4 linked regions of the Arabidopsis thaliana genome follow. The protein of the gene in region 4 interacts with the protein of the main gene of each other region in a pairwise test. Each region holds a gene or a part of one and is shown on either strand. Other genes may lie near its edges.

Region 1 (4,378 bases), on a different chromosome or scaffold from region 4:
TTCGCCTAAACAAATAATAAAAACGAAAATAAAAAAAACGAATATGCTGACGTGGCGGTTGAATGGAACAGTGTTTGGCTCCAGGGATTGGGGACGAGGGAAGACTGCGAATTTTCAGGCGTACGAGAGCGCCAAGTCGAAATCTTCCTTTTCATCAAATCTGACGTGGCGCATCAATAAATAACTCTCTCGTTTTTCTTCTTGTCACACAACTTATTTAGAAAAATCGAAGCTTGTTGGGCTACATATTGGGCCTACGATGTTTCTCGTGGAACATTTTGACAATTAATAAAAGAAACAACTTCGAGTTAGGCCCAATATGAACACTGTATGTTTCTCATGCAACAACATTTTGACATTACCAGACAATGGAGGAAGATGATCCTTTTTTCATTTCAAATAAGACTCAAAACTTATCATCCAATTATACGTTCATGATTTATATGAAAGATGAGAGATTGCATTTGCATACAAAAGGACCATATTTTTGTTAATCGCTCCATAATGTTAGCCTTAGGGTCTAGGGACGTCTATGCACATTTACAAACTCATAAGGAATTAAAGAATTACGTATATTTCACTTTCCAGGAACAACAACCTTCAAAACTCAACTTACATGACAACAAATTGAGATCCAAAAAGAAACAAACCTTAAAAAAACAAATATCACCATGTTGCTCTAAAGTCTAAACCAAGACCGATTTCCACTTGAAAATCATATTGCCGAACCAAAAAAAAAAAAAAAAAATTACAACACATATGGACTATAAAATCAGTGACCAATGATTATGGGGAAAACAAAAAAAGTACCTTTATGTACAAGAAAAAAAAAACAGAAGATCTTGAATCAAACACTAGTACTAGAACTTGGATGTGTCTCAAAAGAGGGAGGGCTGCGAGAAGATGGTGAGCCGATAGTGCCACGAATCCTGAATATTTCAAGAACAACAAAAGCAAGTAACGTGACTGACAGAACAAATCCATATCCAATTTTCCATCCATCTCCTCCATTATCCGCCATTCGAATTCCAAGAACAATGTTCACTGCTCCAAAAAAGAGAGAGATCCTCCCAATCCAATGATGATACCAATTCCAATATCTCCTCATCTTTGTCTCCTTCTGTGGCCGTGCAAAGAAAGCCAAAACCTGAAGAGTGCTAAGGACTAGAAGAAAGATCCCAATGCCTCGATGCGCAGGTATATCCGGCTGGATCCTATTGTAAAGCTGAATCCCAAGAATAACTGCGGCTAAACCGAAGATAAAGCCCGTGAACTGAAAACCGATATGAAGATAGTACCAAAGAGGGTCTTTATGTCTTAGATATCTTGCTAGGATTGCCCCTACAGGAAGTAAGAAACCCCATCCGAGTATCGCCATTACTCCATGTTTTGTCTTCTCCGTAGAAGTTGTCGTCTTTATGGAGGTTGCTCCACTAGCTGCATTGACCAAGAACATACAACTATTGAACTCTCCCCTGTTTTTAACATGTATAGATTAGACTAGTATATACATTATATTACCTTTGGAAAAATCGACGATGACTGTAGTTTTATCATCATGCTTAGTCAAACGGCCTAGCTTGGAAGGATAAGCAGTGCTAAACGCTAGAATGACAGCTCTCCGAGGAACTCTAACGGCGAATTTCACCTGGAAAGCTAAGTAAATCATTGCTCCGTGAAGAGCCACCACCGGCGGGACTTTTTGTAGTTGCAATTCTCCTTGATCCGGCACAACTTGGTCTCTCTCCGTTCCTTGGAGATAGTATTGTTTGATTTTGGCGTGACCCTTTTTCGAAATCCATCCGATCATCGCGCTTGATCCAACCATTCTTCCTTCTTTCGAGAATCCAATCCCAACCCACCCGGTTGTGTATAAAGCCGATACTATAATCGTCATCACATTGTCTCTGTTTTCTGAGTACTGCAAAACAGAGCAAGCAGCGTTGAAAATCAAAATTATGGGTTTTAGGAAAAGTTGGTTTATGTTTTTCGGTTTACCCGTAAGACGAACGTGTTCCAAAGAGGAGTACAGGGCATGTTATCGGAGATATTGCTGTACGGTGGAGGGAGGAAATCGGATAATCGGTTTGCAAAACAGAGATTCTGGGTCGAATCGTTTATGACATTGACGTCATCTGCAGCTAAGAAAGGCAGATCTTGTCCGATTAAGAAACAGAGGATGTAAAATCCGACCAAAGTTTTCATGGTTGGAATCGAAACAGAGACGAGAAGGAGCGAGGAACAATGGAAGCTTTTTGGGTGATGGTTACTTGAAGAAGAAGAAGAGTGATTGAGTTTGGTGGTGAAAGTGGTTGGAGATGGAGATCAATCATAATCATCAAATTGTTTTAAATCAGCTCCGGTTGGATTTTGAGAAAGATACTTGGAGTTGATGTTTCACTGGTTAAGTATCGGACAATTTATGTCCCCTCTGTCACTAAATCGACACGTGAACCGACAGAAAAATACCAAGATGCTATGAAATTATTGCTTTTTCTTTGCCAGTTAAAACAATTGGCAATTGCTATTTGAGGTTGAGAAATTACGAATAGATTTTTAAGATATGGACAATCTGGAGTTTTTTACTTTGCTTATTTAGGGAAAAAAAGAAGAAGAAGACAGAGATGGGAGCGAGAGAGTGGGGTCGTAAACTGGACCATAGTGGGAAGTGGATCAGTCTTAGTCTGAATCATTACTCATTAGGTATATTTGGTCAGGATAGTGCCACGATCAACATCATCTTTTCTTTTCTTGGAGGAGATATTGGAAGGGAACTTGGAAACAAAGTAAACAATAATAAATTAACCAATGAGTACAGCTTTACAGCTTCCATGAGTACCAATCACACAAACAAACAATTTCATTTGTTCGTTGTAAAACACAAACTCAAATGAGAAAAAAGGTATTGTGTTGCAATTGCAAAATGGTAATGTAAAACAATTTAAACAGTATTACTATTACGCATGGCGGGATCGGTATCAGTCAACGACTAAGCGTTTTATGTAATCGATATCATAATTCAAAATTATTCAACTTTAACATAATAAAAGGGATTAACATAATAAGTTAGCCAATATGGGGATGTAGCTCATATGGTAGAGCGCTCGCTTCGCATGCGAGAGGCACGGGGTTCGATTCCCCGCATCTCCAATTTTGTTGATTTTTTTAATTTTAGTTTGCTCTTCTTCTTCTGTTTGCTCTTCTTCTTCTGTTTGCTTGCTCCTTTTGTTCTCTCTTTCCGGTGGTTTAAAACAGAGAGGAGATCACGTCATATGTTTCTTCAGTCCATGAAATCTATTTATTTTTTGAAAAATAATTTGGTCAACCATATTCTACTGCGCCAACCATCGTCTTACAAAAACTTTTATTCAGAAACAATGATAACTCGAACACCGAATACAATGACAAATGGAAAAAAAAAAGAGACAAAAAAATGTAGAAGGAAACGTATCCTAAAGAAACAAAAAATGGAGTGTGAAGAGAGGGTCTCGTCTCTCTACTTGGACCAAGCAACTGCTTCAATATCCGTTTGAGCACTTCTATACAATTCCAGCCTCTTCGCAATCGAAGTCCTTCGCTGCTGAACCGCAGGATCCTCATCCAACAATTTCGACAATTTGCTCATCTATAATTTTTAACACCAAACCATTTTAACATTCTTACTCGTATCTTATACAATTGTCAATTTGCTCATATAGGTTTTTTAGTATATCTTTATTGTTACCTCTTTCTGGCCAAGTTCGGTGAAGAAGATGTCTAGAAGGCTTCGTTTTGCTTCACGGACTTGACAGTAAACAATGGATTTCGGTATGGAGTTTCTCAAGCCAGCGCAGACCATGTTCACATATGACAACACATTTGAGCCGATTCTTCGGAGATAAGCATCGTTGTATCTGTCGAATATCGAATGTGTCGGATTCCCACCTTTTTCAGAATCTTGCGGGAGTTTCCTGAAGAACTCGACCGTTAAGTAACCAGACTCCATGTCCACTAGTAACAGAGTTGCTTTCCTGCTTTCGTCTCTCATTCGATCCAATGAATCCACGGCTGCACCTGATACTTCTACTCTGAGTGTTGGATATTGCTTCAGTTCCTGTAGTCATGATGAAAACACATAATCATGCTTCAAAACTCATAAGTGTTATTGTTGTTGTTGGGTTTATGACTTTGAGCAGAGATATTCTTACAGATGTTTCGCCCATGGATTTGTGGATAAGATCCTTGAGAATGGAATGAACCGCATCAACAGCTGCTTCAGCAGGGCCTCTAATGGAGACTAAGCATGATTCTATGAGCCGGCGATAACCTTGTTCAGGAGCTATGAGATGAGGTTGATATCCATCTGCTTCAGTGATCAGTTTCCGTACATTGTCCATGG
Region 2 (7,104 bases), on a different chromosome or scaffold from region 4:
ACAAGGAGAAGTAAACAGAGAAAGAAAGGGATTGTGATGAGTCGTATGTTGCTCCATATGTTCCGTTTCTGCATCAAAGAACAAAAGGAAACAAAACCTCATTGTAAACTTTTTACTCTGTCTTAGCCGTTTTAGATATTAAAAGTGTATTGAAACCTGGAAAACTAAATTCTTCCTCAGTAAAGCGTCGGCTTGAGTCAAGAAACTTGCAGGACTAGAATCCGCCATCGCAGAGAATATGAGAAGGTTTGATGGAGTTGAATAGTTTTTAAGAAGTCTCTAAATGTTGTTTTTTAGATGTGCACACTAAAAATAACAAGAATTAAGAGATAACAGTTTAACTATACACGTTACTGAAGTGGCATACAGGTATTGGACAATAGCACTGTGATTTTTTGTATGATATTTCGTGTAGGTCAAGTAATAGTATTCATTTGCATCACTCACCTAAGAAATGAACTCTCTACCAAAACCTACACAAATATGAATATAATAAGATAGATATGGTTTTTTATTTTCATTATTACGACAATGTCGAAAATATGGGTTTATTGCTACCAACCAACTTTAATAGCCGATACATGAACTCCGAAACAGAGTAGAACAAATGGTTATGACATTGAAAAACATCTCCTAGTGTTGAAGTGTCGCCTCTTTGCTTCAGGAGCGCTAGTAATTGTTTCAAGTATAATCTCATTGAAAAATCAGGAACTTGTAACATATTTCCAGTAATATACATGAAATCTTATAAACACTAATTTCGTATCATGTGGTAGCAATTTGACATAATAAGCAAATATTGACATTGGACAAAATATGGACGTATGAATCTAAGAAGATCAAGAGAAGACATTAAAGGCCTGACCGTTTCTCACAACCTTGATGAAGACATCTTCAAGAGTTGTGTCGGCGAGTCCCCAAGCGAAAACGGTAAAGTTGCTCTTCGCCTTCTCCACAGCCTGGAACACCTCTGAGATCCGAACCTCTTCTTTTGGAAGCTCAAACTTCTGAGTCCCTGCGATGTGATATATCTTCTTGGCGTTTGGGGAGACATCTTTAATTAGCTTCTCCACGTTTTGCTCGTGTTCTGAAGATGTTGTCATCGTAAACACATAAGATCCACCGTACCTTCCCTTCAGCTCTTTTGGGTTGCCAATGCATTGCAAGCCTCCGTCCACAAAAATACCCAATCGGTCACATAGAAATTCTGCTTCTTCCATTGAGTGGGTTGTGAGGATTATCGCGGTGTTTTGTTTTGCACGCTTGATGACAGTCCATAGGTTCTTTCTCGAAGCTGGATCAAGTCCTGTACTTGGCTCATCCATATAAACCACCTTCAAAGGAAATGAGGACGAGTCTGGTAAGCTTGAAAGAGCTTATCCCTTTTGGTTTACTATTTTTAAAGGCTTAGTGTTGTACCTTAGGATTCCCGATAAGTGAAATGGCTACGCTCAGCCGTCTTTTCATACCTCCGCTATATTTCCCAGCAGGCTTGTCCGCAACTCCTCCATGGAAAAGGTTGACACTCTTAAGAGACTCTTCCACAGCCTGATGCAGATAAGTAACGATGAGAAATAGATTGAGCAATGGAAGTAATATAGAAGGTGAGCGAGATTGATAACATACTTGGTTGAGATCAGCGCCTTTGAGATTCTTAAGTCTCCCATAAAACAGCAGATGTTCCCTTCCTGTCAGTGTTTCCCATAGCAAACTGGTATACGACAGACAATAAGAGAATGATTAAACAACTATATCATCTATAGTGAAGAACAAAATGAAATGAATTTCAAGAATTTAATTACTCATGCTGCGGGCATACGCCCATGCTGGTGTACACTCTGTCCATATCATTGCATATATCCAAACCTTGAACAAGTGCTGTCCCAGATGTCGGTTTCAGGAGCCCAGTCATCTGACAAAGAAAACAAAGGACATATTACTAAGGCTGACGCACAATTCGTTTGGGCATACACTAGATAGAGTTTCTCGATCAGCAATGATATTGGAAGCTAAGGTCTAATGTGCACAAAATATTTTGTCCATTTGACTGACCATATTGATGAAGGAAGTCTTTCCAGCACCATTGGGACCTAACATGCCGAAGCATTCTCCTGAAGGCACTGCAAGAGATAACCCACGAACTGCCAATTTAGGCGGGTTCCCATCTCTACCAGGATACACCTTCTTCAGGTTGTCACATACAATCGCATGGCTTGTGCTCGACTCAAGCATCAACCGCTCGACTTTTTTACTCTGATTGGAACATTTTTTGTTATCAGAACCAGTATATATTATGAAAAACATGAAATATATTGTAAAGTCTTTGGACATACCTCGTGAGTAACATCTGGTTTTTCCATATCAACTGAGACTTTGGAGCCTTGCCTCTGCAAACTAGGTCTTCTCAAAGAAGGAGATTTCTTGAAAGGGTTTTGCAAGAAGAACAACGGGTTTCTTCCGGATGAAGATATCTTATCGATATAGTATGCTGCAATGAGTGCAAGAAACCATTCAACGACAATGATGTAAAAAACATCATCCATTGCACTATCACCAAAATCTTTCCACTTCATCCCATCTTCCCCTCTCAAGTTTCCCCGGAAAGCAAATTGCGCCAACTCATACAGGCCACGGTATAAGGAGAAGCCAGGATATAACTCCATGACAATAATCCAGCCTCCTGGAAAATTATAATTCATTTGCAATCGTGGTCAGTTGTGAAAACACATAACAGAGTGTATTAAATATCTTTCTTGAAGTTAATTAATCATAATAACTTACTAGGGAATGATGAATCTTCAATCAGAAAGTTGAGTAGAAACAAACCCAAAAGTCCAGATCCAAACACGTATATGTAAGAAGCAACTATGATTAAGACATATAGAGAAAAGCTCATTAGTTCCTTTAAACCCCAGTAGCATGTTCTTGATTAAATTCAAGAAGCACGATGTTCTTAGTACCTGTTGATGTCTTGACTTTTGAAAATACTGAAGAAACTAGAAAGGCAAGGGCGATTTGCAGATTTAAATAGAGAAAATAGAATACGAACTGGATGCTGTAGGAATTAAGCCGAAAGAACTTCAGTCCTGCAGGGAACCAACAACATTAAAGACTCATATTGACAAAAAAACATAATGTATTGTAAGAAATGTATTAACCGAAAGGCTTCAATTACCTATTGCTGACCCGAATATCATCAGGCATATAACGTATAACACGGATATGGTAAGGAAATAGGCGTAGGAAATCATCCAATAAGGACCATCTCCTAGGCCATGCATTTTCATTATAATTCTTAGATGTTGCTGTTTCTCATACACTAATGACGACAAGATCACCTGCATACAAATGGCTCTAGATATGAATTTCGTATCTTACGCTTGGAGAAAGCAGAATTCTTGTTGTTTCCAAGATTTATCCATGAGGGTGAGTATTATTGAAGGCAAACTTACAGGGAACAGAAGAAGAATAACCCAGGTGAAGAAAAGGGGGCCAATTAGAGACGCAATGTCCAGACGAAGACTTGTTTCTGGTTTAGGCATTTCTTTGACATATTCAAACAACATCCTTGTCCCCGGTCCTTGTAGAAATTGAAGGTAAGCATTTGACACCTGCAGTTTGGTAAAGTGTAAGCATCGGTTCAATAAAGAAAGTGGTGCTACATGGTAAAGAGCAAAGTGAGAATACAATGATGAAGGATGTCTTGAGTAAATTGTTGTTTTCTTACCAAATTGACTGAGCGGGGAACACGGATCAACTTTATAAGTCTATTTCCTGCATCGTCCTTGTACGTTGAATTATACCAGATGTGCACATTAAAATTGTTCCTATCAGTGTTCAAGAGATCATATGCTAAACCAACAACAAAATCAGACATGAAGAGTCAGAAATCTCATGAGCTTATTAAAGATTATTATAGATAACCCAACTGAGAAGTTGACGAACCTGCAGCGATCTCATTTATCTTTCCCTCGGGGTTTCCTTTCTTATAACCCTTGAAAATCTTATCATTGACCTCTTTGGAGGTATTTGTCCAAAGATTTGATCCTTGAACACATCTCAACTCTGGTTTTGTCACAAACATTAAGTTAATCAACTACAACGATGTTTCCATGAAAGATAACTATGAGTGAGGACAATATATTGCAGAAAGATATATCATGTTCAACAAGATCGGGATACGAAAACAGAGAAAGCAACCAGATTTCATTAAGCTAACACTGATATAAGCATATATAACATCTAGTATCCCTCTTAAACTTTTTTAGTTGACATCTTAAACATCAATGGGATTAAAAACTCAATACCTTTCTCAAACTTGAGAGGTGGTTGTTCGAATGAGAACGGAAACGTAGCATTTAGAATGCACCGAGGTTGGATATTGTAGATGGAAAGATTTGAGGCAATCCCTGGATCAAGATAATTGGTGAAATCTGCCTCAACTGTTGTACCCTGAAACATGAGGTCAAGAAAGCTAAGAAACACATTTCATAATGGAAACAAACAGAAACCAACCAAAAAAACTTACCAAAACATTGTTGGCTAAAGTACGCAAAATCTCAGAGGCGTTCGCCGACACAGAACTAGTGAACAGATTCTCAGATACAGCTAAAGAAAACATGAAGATAAGTTCCAGTGTAGGTACACAAGAACAGAAACATAAAAAAGAAGGAAAAGAGACATACTTGTTCCAAGGGAACGGTTATTTCCAGTAAAGAGTATAGTAACAGGACAAGATCCTGTTCTTCTGCAAGAATCATCACGAAGACCTCTAACATCGCGACTCTCAGGACGCGGGATTTGTAACAAAGGAGGCCATAGTGGAGGACGAGGGATAGAACAAAAGAAGGCTTGATCCGGTTTAGAATGTTCTAAACCGCAAAGCTCTCTTTGGCATTTTCCAGCTCTATTTCTTTCGATGCATTCACAACCACAACGATTATCAGCAGAGTTGTTAACTTGTGTATCGAACAGGATTTGTATAATCACTAGAAGTATACAGAGGTAGAATGGGATCATGATTAGCCGTATATTGCTCCATAGATTCCGTTTCTACACCAACACACAATTTACACAAAGACATAATTAGAACAGAATCTACTCAATAAATCAGCCACTAATTTTGTTGTGGAAACTGATCTATTAAACGAAAATCCCAGAACAGAATCTTACTCACATTAAACGAAAATTTGTATGTGTATAATTGGATTGCGTAGAGGAAAAGAAAACGGAAAAAGTACCTGATAGGTTAAGTTTTTCCTAAGCAAGGCATTGGCTCTCGTTGAGAAACTGGCAGGACCAGGATCCGCCATTGATGAAGGTAACAACCTTCGCTTTTCTCTGTGTATTAGATTCTGTTTTTTAGGGTTAGTAAAAATTGAATCCTAATGGAAACCCAATTTTTGAACTTAGAAGGAACAAATCGAGTCACCGCCTTTTGGTTTATAGCAGGCGGAGGAAAGAAGAACAGAGATCAGATACGGAATGTGAAATTACAGTAATACCCTTGTGCACACGCTTTAATTTCTCGTTAAGTATACCTTTAATTAGTTATTTTTCTCGAATATATTAGTATTGTTTTTTTGGGGTTATTCTTTTGGTCAAATAACAAAAAGGTAATTTTACGAAATCGAGAAAGTGACAATGGAGAATATTTTCAATGTAAATTTGGTAGGAAGCTGCGAAGGAGAGTGATGCCACGACCAATAGATTCTTCGACTAGTGGAAGAGGTGAGTTTCAATTATTTGTTTACTGTATATTTGTATTTGTATAAAGATGATTCATACGTCATCTCAGACGTAATCACGTGTGAACATAATCGATTAAACTAGTCTATTTTAATGTCTCACGTAAAAGTGTCGGGTAATTTGGTTGACTATGATAATTTTTTGACCATTTTAAAAAGATTTGTTCAAATCTAAACATTTTTTTCCAATGTGGCAGTTACTTGGACAAGAAGCAAAAATGTTATGATGTCCTAAGAAAAATTCTTATTTCAGTTTATATTTTTACTAGCAGTCTTATTTCAGTTTTCAAACATAAAAAGTCTTTGCACACAATAAAAAACACAAAAGTCTTTGATTTAATAAGTAGCAGTTTTAAATACTTTATACTCTATGGTCCATTACAGGGAAAATAAATTTACTTTGGTTTGATTTCAGTTTGAATGTGTTCATGATAATGTCATCTTTAAATTTATTTTTTGAAAAATTCCTGGTCTAAAGTTAATTAGGAATCCTCCATAAATTTTTAGTGAAATTTGTGATTTTCATAGACATCAAGACAATTTCTTATTTCGGAGAAGAACCAATTGATATAATTAAGATTTAATTGGTAAAAAATTTGGTTTAACAGTTTTGATTTATACTCCCTCTGTTCCTTTTTTTATATTGTTTAGAAAAACACATATATTAAGAAAACATATTAAATTTTGATTATAAATGTATTATTTTTAGTGTTTTACAATTTTTTATAACTCTAAACCAATGATAACTAACTATTTTTCTTGAAAATTACAATTCACCAATATTAACCAATAAATATTGCATGGAAAACTTAAAAAATTAATTTCTTAAAAACAAATTTTTTTTCTAAACAATCAAACAAAAAGGAACAACAGAGTATTTTGTAGTCTTTTTTAAAAATTGTCTTTCTTTTTAGAAATGTTGTCTCCGGCAGCTAACATAGTTTTCAGTGATATTTTCTTTTTTCGATGGCATATGAAATTTTACCAATGTTTAAGTAAAATTCAATGAAAAAAAGACCTAATTACTATCTTTTAATATAGATACTATTTTCGAAATTCTAAATTTTAAATCGTAAACCCTATATGAATTAAATGGTAAGATATACATTTAGGATCTGAATGGTAGATGAAATAAAATTTCATATTCAGTGGTTTATCCACAATTAAATATAGCCACGTTTAAATAAAAAAATTGTGGTTACATGCATCATCCACAAACAAACTAATACAAGACCTCAGACTAATTCGCAAACTTGCAGGCGAAGAGCCAACAATGTACATGAATCAAACCTCTGCATTATCAATTTATCAAACATGAACAAGCAAAATATTGACGTGGAACAGACATAACTAATAA
Region 3 (3,121 bases), on a different chromosome or scaffold from region 4:
TTCTATCTATGGCGGCAGCTCTGTTCATCGCTGTGCCAGCGATCGTTGTGATCTGGATATCGGTAGTGGTGACAATAGCGTTCCCCGTAAAGTCGAGGAAGAAAGTGGTGATTGAAGGAAGGAAAGTGACGAAAGAAATTGCTGGTTATGTGTTTAAGGTTCTTCTTAAAGAAGGAAACTTTGTGGCTCTTCTTTGTGCTGTTATTGCTTACTTTGTCTTCTTTAACTCTTATTACTCTTCATCTTCTTGATTCAGTTTTTGCATTTTGTCATTAACGAAAACATTCATAACTAATATATTGACATCTTATCTTATGGTATATGTTGTAAAATAGTACAACACCCCATGCAAGTTTTGGGTGTTGAGTTCGATTCCCTTCTTTGCATGTTTGCGTCTTCTTTTTTTTAAACTTAACATTGATACCAAAAAAAAAGTGTGTATATATTGAAATCTTTCTTCATTATTTGTCCTTTAGTTTAACAAGATTTGATTTCTTGAATCTGAAAATATCGATCTTCTTTGTTGGATTGATGTGTTCTCTGATGATGTCAAAACGAATGCTTCCACGTCACAATACCGACACGTGAAGTTATTGACATTTCTTTTGTTTATTTCTTTGAGAGAGAACACAGATTCTTCTTTTGGTCGTCTCTCTGTTTGTCGGTCATTCTCTGTCTCTTCCGTGGAAGAGCTTCTGAAACCTCAACTATAATATGGGTTTGAAGGCCCATTTGGGCTTTACTGATTACCATCAATGGCTCATTTTCTGTTTTAGTGAAAACGTTAAATACAGTATCTAACTTATAACTTTCTATCAGCTGAATACTTGATATAAATATATTTAAACTATGTGAGATGCCAAATACTAGAGTACGATGATGATAGCCTAGTAATTGTGAAACAGATATATTGTGAATGTGACGACGAAGAAGAAGAAAAATTGTGTAAGGAGTAAGTGCATGTGATTAGGTATGGTCCAAGCTGAAGTTGGGTAAGTAAAAAAGCTTCATAGGTGATGAGTTGCACCAATTCTTCAGAATACAACATTAATAACAAGTGTAAGAAGGTACTCAATCTAAGTCAATGCATAGTTTTCAAAGTAATAATGATGCATATTTGACAAAAAGATACTCCAATGCTCTTGATCCACAATGAGTAATTGAGTATAATTCTCAAACATCTTTAAGTATTGTTACTTTGAATTGGTTTGCTTTGTCTTCAGATATTATTGAATGACATTGGTTGGTAGTTCAAAAGAATAATTGGTCTGCTTGAATGTTTCCCCTTTAGATATACTATATAATAATAAAATTATAATGGTCCAAAATTAGCAGTTATAGCTTATAGGCAGCTTTTATCTCTCTTTTTTCTTTCCTTAACACTAGTAAATTGGATCGCAAGATCTTAGATTGCTAATAACCAACTTTACACTTTGCATTATACAAAATTAACTATTTCCAAAATACCCAAAAAAACTTGATACATTGTTCCTTACATAATAAATTGACTTTTTGGGTGTTAACTTTTAAGAAAAACAGTGTAAGTATTACACAAATTAATCACTAATCACTTTGGTTTATGAAACGGTTAGTTTGGGAGGTGAGCCAAAAGTGAAACTAGAAAAAATGGAAACAGAGCTCTCCAACTGTCAGTTTGCAGGAAAAGGCAAAGACTTTAACTGGACCGCTAATAAAAGAGGCACGTGACAAACACAGCCTAATCAGCAAGAGCGTGTACTTCACGTTACATCAGATTCGACTAGGCTTAAGTATAAACTAAAAAGAACGTACGATCACTTTCCTTTTCTCACAATTCTTCACCGCAAACACTCACCCCAAAAAAGGAATCAGAAGAAGAAAGAAGCTTGTACAAAAGAAGGCTCTTTTACTATATACCATAACTTCACCAAACCAGACACAGAATCATAAGATCAGATCTGGTGTTCTCAAATATGGCGGATAAGGAAGAACCAGAGACGATGACCTCGTACAAGTTGTTTTTGAGAGTTATAAGCAAGAGAAGAACATGGGCCTGTCTGTTTCTTGTAGTCTACGCGATCCTATTGTCTTCTTCATGGAATTCGTTGAATTCAATAGTTAATTGGTACGGAGAGAATCATCAGACATCATCTGGTTTGCCTGCGATTTACGCGTCGGTGCTTCTTGGTGCGGTGTTCGGAGTTTTATCTATGGCGGCGGCGCTGTTCATAGCCGTGCCTGCGATCGTGGTGATCTGGATATCAGTGGTGGTGACGATGGCGTTCGCCGGAAAATCTAGGAAGAGAGTGGTGATTGAAGGAAGGAAAGTGACGAAAGAGATCGCTGGTTTTGTGTTTAGGGTTCTTCTTAAAGAAGGAAACTTTGTGGCTCTTCTTTGTGCTCTTCTTGCTTACTTCGTCTTCTTTAACTCTTACTCTTCATCTTCTTGATTCGTTTTTTTGAATTCTTGTCATTAACGAAAACATTCACAGCTAGTATATTGAAATCTTTCCTCATTATTATTTGTACTTTAGTTTAACAAGATTTGATTTCTTGAATCTGAAAATATCGATCTTCTTTGTTGGATTGATGTGTTTTCTGATGATGTCAGAGAGAATGCTTCCACGTCACAATACCGACACGTGAAGTAATTTACATTACTTTTGTTTATTTATTTGAGAGAACACAGATTCTTCTTTTGGTCTCTTTGTTTGTCGGTCATTCTCTGTCTCTGTCCATGGAAGAGCTTCTGAAACCTGAACTATAATATGGGTTAGAAGGCCCATTGGGGCTTACGGGTTACCATTAATGGCCCATTTTATCGTATATAGTGGAGAACTGTTTTAGTGACAACGTATTAAATACAGTATCTACTAGGCCAGACGATAAATTGTGTTTGAAGGAGGAAGTGCATGTGATTAGGTATGGTCCAAGCTGAAGTTGGTTAGTAAAAAGCTTAAAAGATGATAAGTTGCACCAATTTTTCATAATGTAGCAATAATAACAAGTGTAAGAAGATGCTCAATCCAAGTCAATGCATAGTTCATACGATAATTCTTTTTTTGATAAAAGTTCATACGATAATTCAAAGATATAATTATGAATATTTGACAAAATATGTACATACATTCAATGCTCTGGA
Region 4 (4,643 bases):
CATATTGACCACATGGTTTGGTTTGTTTTATTACTTCGTCGTACATAAGCTGCCGGAAATACCTAACTCTTCATATGGTTGTCTCTTTGACACCTACCGGATTTTACTTCATTTATGCAAAGTATTGTAATAATAAAAAGAAAAAGAGGATATTCCCGGTATTTTAATTAACAGAACAACATTCATATAAATAAAACCATTCCTTTTGATTTTAATTAGGCCTAGGCGACAAAATATATAATTAAGGCTAAATAGATTGCAAACACATGGCAGTTATATCCAAAAGTAAAGATTACAAAAGATGTCGAGAAGATAAAGTCATTTTCTTCTTCAACCATATTTAACAAAATCTTAAGTTATGAATTAGTAATAAACTATTTTCCCAAGAAACTTAAACACACGTATATGGAGTTTGCGTATATGATTGCGATTCCTTGGGGGTGTTTCAGGAGTGACCTCTTTGGTTAATGTTTTCCCAAAAAGCCTAAGCCAACCCAAATCTTGAAAGACCAGAAAGCTACAACTATGGCCATTTTATCAGCTTTAATTTTAGATAACAAAACTGAATTTTGTAAGAGAAAAAATAAAGGTATGGCTATGGGACGCCGAGATGTTAATTACTATCTACATAATAACAACATATTTTTTTTTTTGAATTTAGTGTTAAATTATATTCAAAGAAAAATAAACTGTTTATATACAGAAATGCAAACTTTTCTTAAAAATAGATCAAAAGTATATCTTATTTATCTTTGATTTTGTTCTTGCCTAAAAGTAAACCACACTTGGATTCCTCTTGCGTACTTCTCTTCACATCTTACCCTCAACGTGCTTAATCCATTCCTTATGTTTTTGTCTATCAGCCTGATTATCTTCTTCGTCCTCGATGGCGTCTGTCCATATCTCCTCTCATTTCTTTCTCTCCATATAGAATGTATCGTGTTTTGAAACACATACCGAAGTACAAACCTTGTAGTGGCGTCAAGATCTTTACTCACTAACTCCTTCATAATAACAGCATAATAACATGTATTACATGAATGCATGTCACAAACGTTTATAATTCCCTTTTTTTTTGCCAACAAAACGTTTATAATTCCTTGTATGAAGATATTTTCGTCTAATTTTTAACATCCTTTTTTAGTTGATTTCCAAATAAATTATAAATTTGTTCTAAAGTTTAGTCATCTGCCTAATTAATTAACTTGAAGTTCTATATTGCTAGAGGCATTTAAAGGTCAAGTCCTTTTCAAGTGGTAACTCATTGAAAATGACACTAATGTTTTTTGCAACATTTCACAAGAAAAAAATAGAAATTTTCATGATTTTGGCTTTTGTGGTCTACTCTTTTAAAAAAAGGAATCCTTGAAATGTTTGCATGCTTGTTTTTAGTATCATTATTTTTGTTGTCATCCACTTGATGGAAAGAGCTTTGACACTTCTTTACCACAATCACTTCATAACTCATAACTACATTAAATTCTGTTGTTATCCTAACTTCTTCTGTTAAAAAAATTACTTAGAATTACACATAAGAACTCAAAAATGCAAATTTTCTAAAATTACTCGTCTATTTCAAGTAAAGTAAACCCCTCACCAATCTTAATTTCACACAGAATTTAATGTTGATTGAAGCATAGTAAAAGTCTAAATGAGTCCTTATTTTTTATTTTTACATCAAGAGTACTATTTTGTTTGCATCACATATCTTATATCTTTCTTATAAATACAAACGATCCGGTGGGTACAAGGCATCAATCATGTAAAAGAGGTACAAGCCGGTAGTGAATTTTGAGTCGGTCGGTCTTAAAATCGCCTAAATTTACTCTTCTCGTATTCAAAAGATTTTCCATATCTCAAAAAGTAGTGTAAAACTGAATCACTTTTCTTGTTAAAAAAAAATACAATAAAAACAAACGTAAGAGAAAGGGAAATGAAATAATAATAATCAAAAAAGAAGAATTTATTGATAACCTAACTAACAACTAAAAGATGAAAACACGACACCAACTTCTACCTGCATACTAAAGTTTCGTCTTTAAATGTTGCAGCTGTCTCCTTACATTTCACATCTTCCTTGTTTCTTCTCTCTCTCTCTCTCCCCTCAAACTTAAATTCACATTTTAATACTTGTTACTTCAACTATAATAATAATAATAATCTTTCTTCATTATATATTTTCCTCTCCTCTCAGATCTTCTCTCTCACCATCTTCTCTTGAGATCAAGATTGAGTATTCTTGTCTCAAGAATCGATACTCGAGAGCTCTTATGGACCAAAATGGTCATAACGACGAAGCAGAAACAGTTTCATGCGGCAACGGCAACTGCAAAAGCAAGATCGTGCCTGGAGATGATCACGGTGGAGATGAGAGTAGTGGTACCAAGAGAAGGAAGAAGAGAAAAACGCAACAAAAGACAATGAAACGACGTGAATTAATGTCGTATTGTGAGCTACCGGAGTACATGAAAGACAACGAATACATATTGAATTATTACAGAGCTGATTGGTCCATTAGAGATGCTTTCTTCAGCGTATTTAGTTTCCACAATGAGTCCCTCAATGTTTGGACGTAAGTACACCAAATTTTACTTCTAGTTTCAATTATTTTTTCTTCGATTTTTTTTTCTAATAGTTTTTTTTTTTTGGACAGACATTTGATTGGTTTTATCTTCTTTGTGGCACTAACCGTCGCCAATATTATTCATCACGACGGATTCTTCCCCGTGGTAAGTGTCCTTTAATCAACACGTTTATTTTTGTTTTTGTTTAATAATCGCAAGTTTAGCCCGAATTTCAATTTATTCCCTCGAGATCCACATGCAACCACTATATTAACTTCAAATTAGTCAAGTGAATGTGTCAAGTAATTAGATATATACCTAATTGGTTTTGATTAACTTATCTTAATTTTCTAATGAATTGTTCGTTGCTATACCTGGATTTTGTTATGATGATTTTGAATAAGATATCAAAGATATATAGACATGAATCGAAATGATGAATAAAATCTTTGACAATATTACATTGACTATAATTTGTTTTCTGTAGTATATTCTAAACAACTCAATAAAATGTAATTCTTTTAAGGATTATATATCAGCTCAAATCTATTATTTAATCACATATCTAAACAACTGAAGAAAATGTATTTCTTAACTAGATTAGAAATCAACTCAAATATGTTATTTGATCATATATCTAGTATATGTTTTTTTAGTATCTCAAACTAGTCAATAAAAATGTAAAGCTAATGGTGGTATCAATGTTGATGATTGTAGGATGCAAAGAGTCCAGGGAATGTAACAAGATGGCCCTTCTTCGTTTTCTTAGGAGGCTCAATGTTCTGCCTACTCGCAAGCAGCATTTGTCACCTCTTCTGTTGCCACTCAAAAGAGCTTAATGTCTTCCTTCTCCGAATAGACTATGCCGGTATCACCGCCATGATCATCACTTCCTTCTTCCCACCAATCTTCTACATCTTCCAGTGCACTCCTCGGTGGTACTTCATCTACCTCGCAGGCATCACATCCATGGGAATCTTCACAATCATCACACTTTTCACCCCATCACTTTCCGCTCCCAAGTACCGAGCTTTCCGCGCTTTGCTCTTTGCCTCCATGGGGCTGTTTGGGATTGTCCCAGCTGCCCACGCGCTAGTGGTCAATTGGGGAAACCCGCAAAGGAACGTGACGCTCGTGTACGAGTTGCTTATGGCAGTGTTCTATCTTGTTGGAACAGGATTCTACGTAGGGAGAGTGCCAGAAAGGCTTAAACCGGGATGGTTTGATCGTGTGGGACATAGTCATCAGATCTTCCATGTGTTCGTTTTGTTGGGTGCTTTGTCTCACTATGCAGCTGCTCTCTTGTTCTTGGACTGGCGTGACCACGTTGGTTGTTAAACCATATATTTGTAATTCTTTTAAATATAATATTATTAATTTGTTGTATCGTGGTGAACAAAATTGTAATAACCCATTTGTTTTAAATTGAATTGTAATTCAACTTGTGTTAATTGTTATGTTTGTTGAATATGCATGATTTTCAGAAGTCTTTTTCTCTATGAGAAGTTAATGGTAAATCAAATATTTGCCACTGAATAGTTTCGTTTTTGAATATGATGACTTCAATTGTTTGTTTGCTTTATATCATGAAAGCAAACAGAATTGAAAAGACATAAAAAAAAATTGATGTAAACACAAAAGCAAAAATTGACGGTTGAAACAACCAATGATTTGTTTTATAAAAAAAAAAAAAAACCAATGATGCAAAGGATGGACTTCATGCATGGTTGATGGTTCTTTCATCTATCTACATGCGCACTTAGCTTAGTGTCAGGATTCCCTAACCACAAGAGAATTAATATGTATATATGCACCATCAAATGTTCATCAAAGTCTCCGCTTCCTTTTTCATTCTTCATAGCCGAGTCCTCTTATTATTGCTTCAAAGTTTTTTTGTTCTTTTTGATTTGATATAAATATATGTGTTACTAGGTTATACAGGTGTTAATTAGATGCAAGACAAGGATTGATCAGACATAAACATAATTAAAGACCAAGCTTCACTCTGTAACTAGACTCTTGATCGATAATGCGTGAACGGACCCAAACTCTTTTCGAATTTCGGAAGCCAAATGTCTT

Evidence for each region.
Region 1: the proteins of HHP1 (region 4) and AT3G61750 interact in a protein complementation assay, tested with the Arabidopsis thaliana proteins (one large-scale study listed by BioGRID).
Region 2: the proteins of HHP1 (region 4) and ABCA7 interact in a protein complementation assay, tested with the Arabidopsis thaliana proteins (one large-scale study listed by BioGRID).
Region 3: the proteins of HHP1 (region 4) and AT4G28330 interact in a protein complementation assay, tested with the Arabidopsis thaliana proteins (one large-scale study listed by BioGRID).

Annotation. Positions count from the first base shown.
Region 1 is NC_003074.8:22,857,050-22,861,427, forward strand, and holds AT3G61750 (Cytochrome b561/ferric reductase transmembrane with DOMON related domain-containing protein), read right to left. Parts: upstream 2,621-4,378; 5' UTR 2,206-2,620; coding exon 1,999-2,205; exon of another isoform or gene 1,922-1,998; coding exon 1,522-1,921; intron 1,438-1,521; coding exon 848-1,437; 3' UTR 528-847; downstream 1-527. Other genes in the region: DL1B (DYNAMIN-like 1B), read right to left, coding at 3,497-3,625, 3,725-4,093, 4,188-4,378. UniProt on the Arabidopsis thaliana protein: May act as a catecholamine-responsive trans-membrane electron transporter.
Region 2 is NC_003074.8:17,622,708-17,629,811, reverse strand, and holds ABCA7 (ABC2 homolog 6), read right to left. Parts: upstream 5,473-7,104; 5' UTR 5,313-5,472; coding exon 5,241-5,312; intron 5,053-5,240; coding exon 4,686-5,052; intron 4,609-4,685; coding exon 4,529-4,608; intron 4,453-4,528; coding exon 4,308-4,452; intron 4,066-4,307; coding exon 3,946-4,065; intron 3,853-3,945; coding exon 3,728-3,852; intron 3,612-3,727; coding exon 3,453-3,611; intron 3,339-3,452; coding exon 3,176-3,338; intron 3,087-3,175; coding exon 2,961-3,086; intron 2,866-2,960; coding exon 2,782-2,865; intron 2,681-2,781; coding exon 2,334-2,680; intron 2,254-2,333; coding exon 2,053-2,253; intron 1,913-2,052; coding exon 1,803-1,912; intron 1,712-1,802; coding exon 1,627-1,711; intron 1,549-1,626; coding exon 1,420-1,548; intron 1,335-1,419; coding exon 840-1,334; 3' UTR 527-839; downstream 1-526. Other genes in the region: ABCA8 (ABC2 homolog 7), read right to left, coding at 1-68, 157-228.
Region 3 is NC_003075.7:14,021,760-14,024,880, reverse strand, and holds AT4G28330 (pyrroline-5-carboxylate reductase), read left to right. Parts: upstream 1-1,575; 5' UTR 1,576-1,952; coding exon 1,953-2,429; 3' UTR 2,430-2,601; downstream 2,602-3,121. Other genes in the region: AT4G28340 (pyrroline-5-carboxylate reductase), read left to right, coding at 1-251.
Region 4 is NC_003076.8:6,840,284-6,844,926, reverse strand, and holds HHP1 (heptahelical transmembrane protein1), read left to right. Parts: upstream 1-1,980; 5' UTR 1,981-2,270; coding exon 2,271-2,572; intron 2,573-2,653; coding exon 2,654-2,729; intron 2,730-3,281; coding exon 3,282-3,902; 3' UTR 3,903-4,094; downstream 4,095-4,643. UniProt on the Arabidopsis thaliana protein: May act as a negative regulator of abscisic acid (ABA)-mediated osmotic stress signaling and function in cross-talk between cold and osmotic signaling.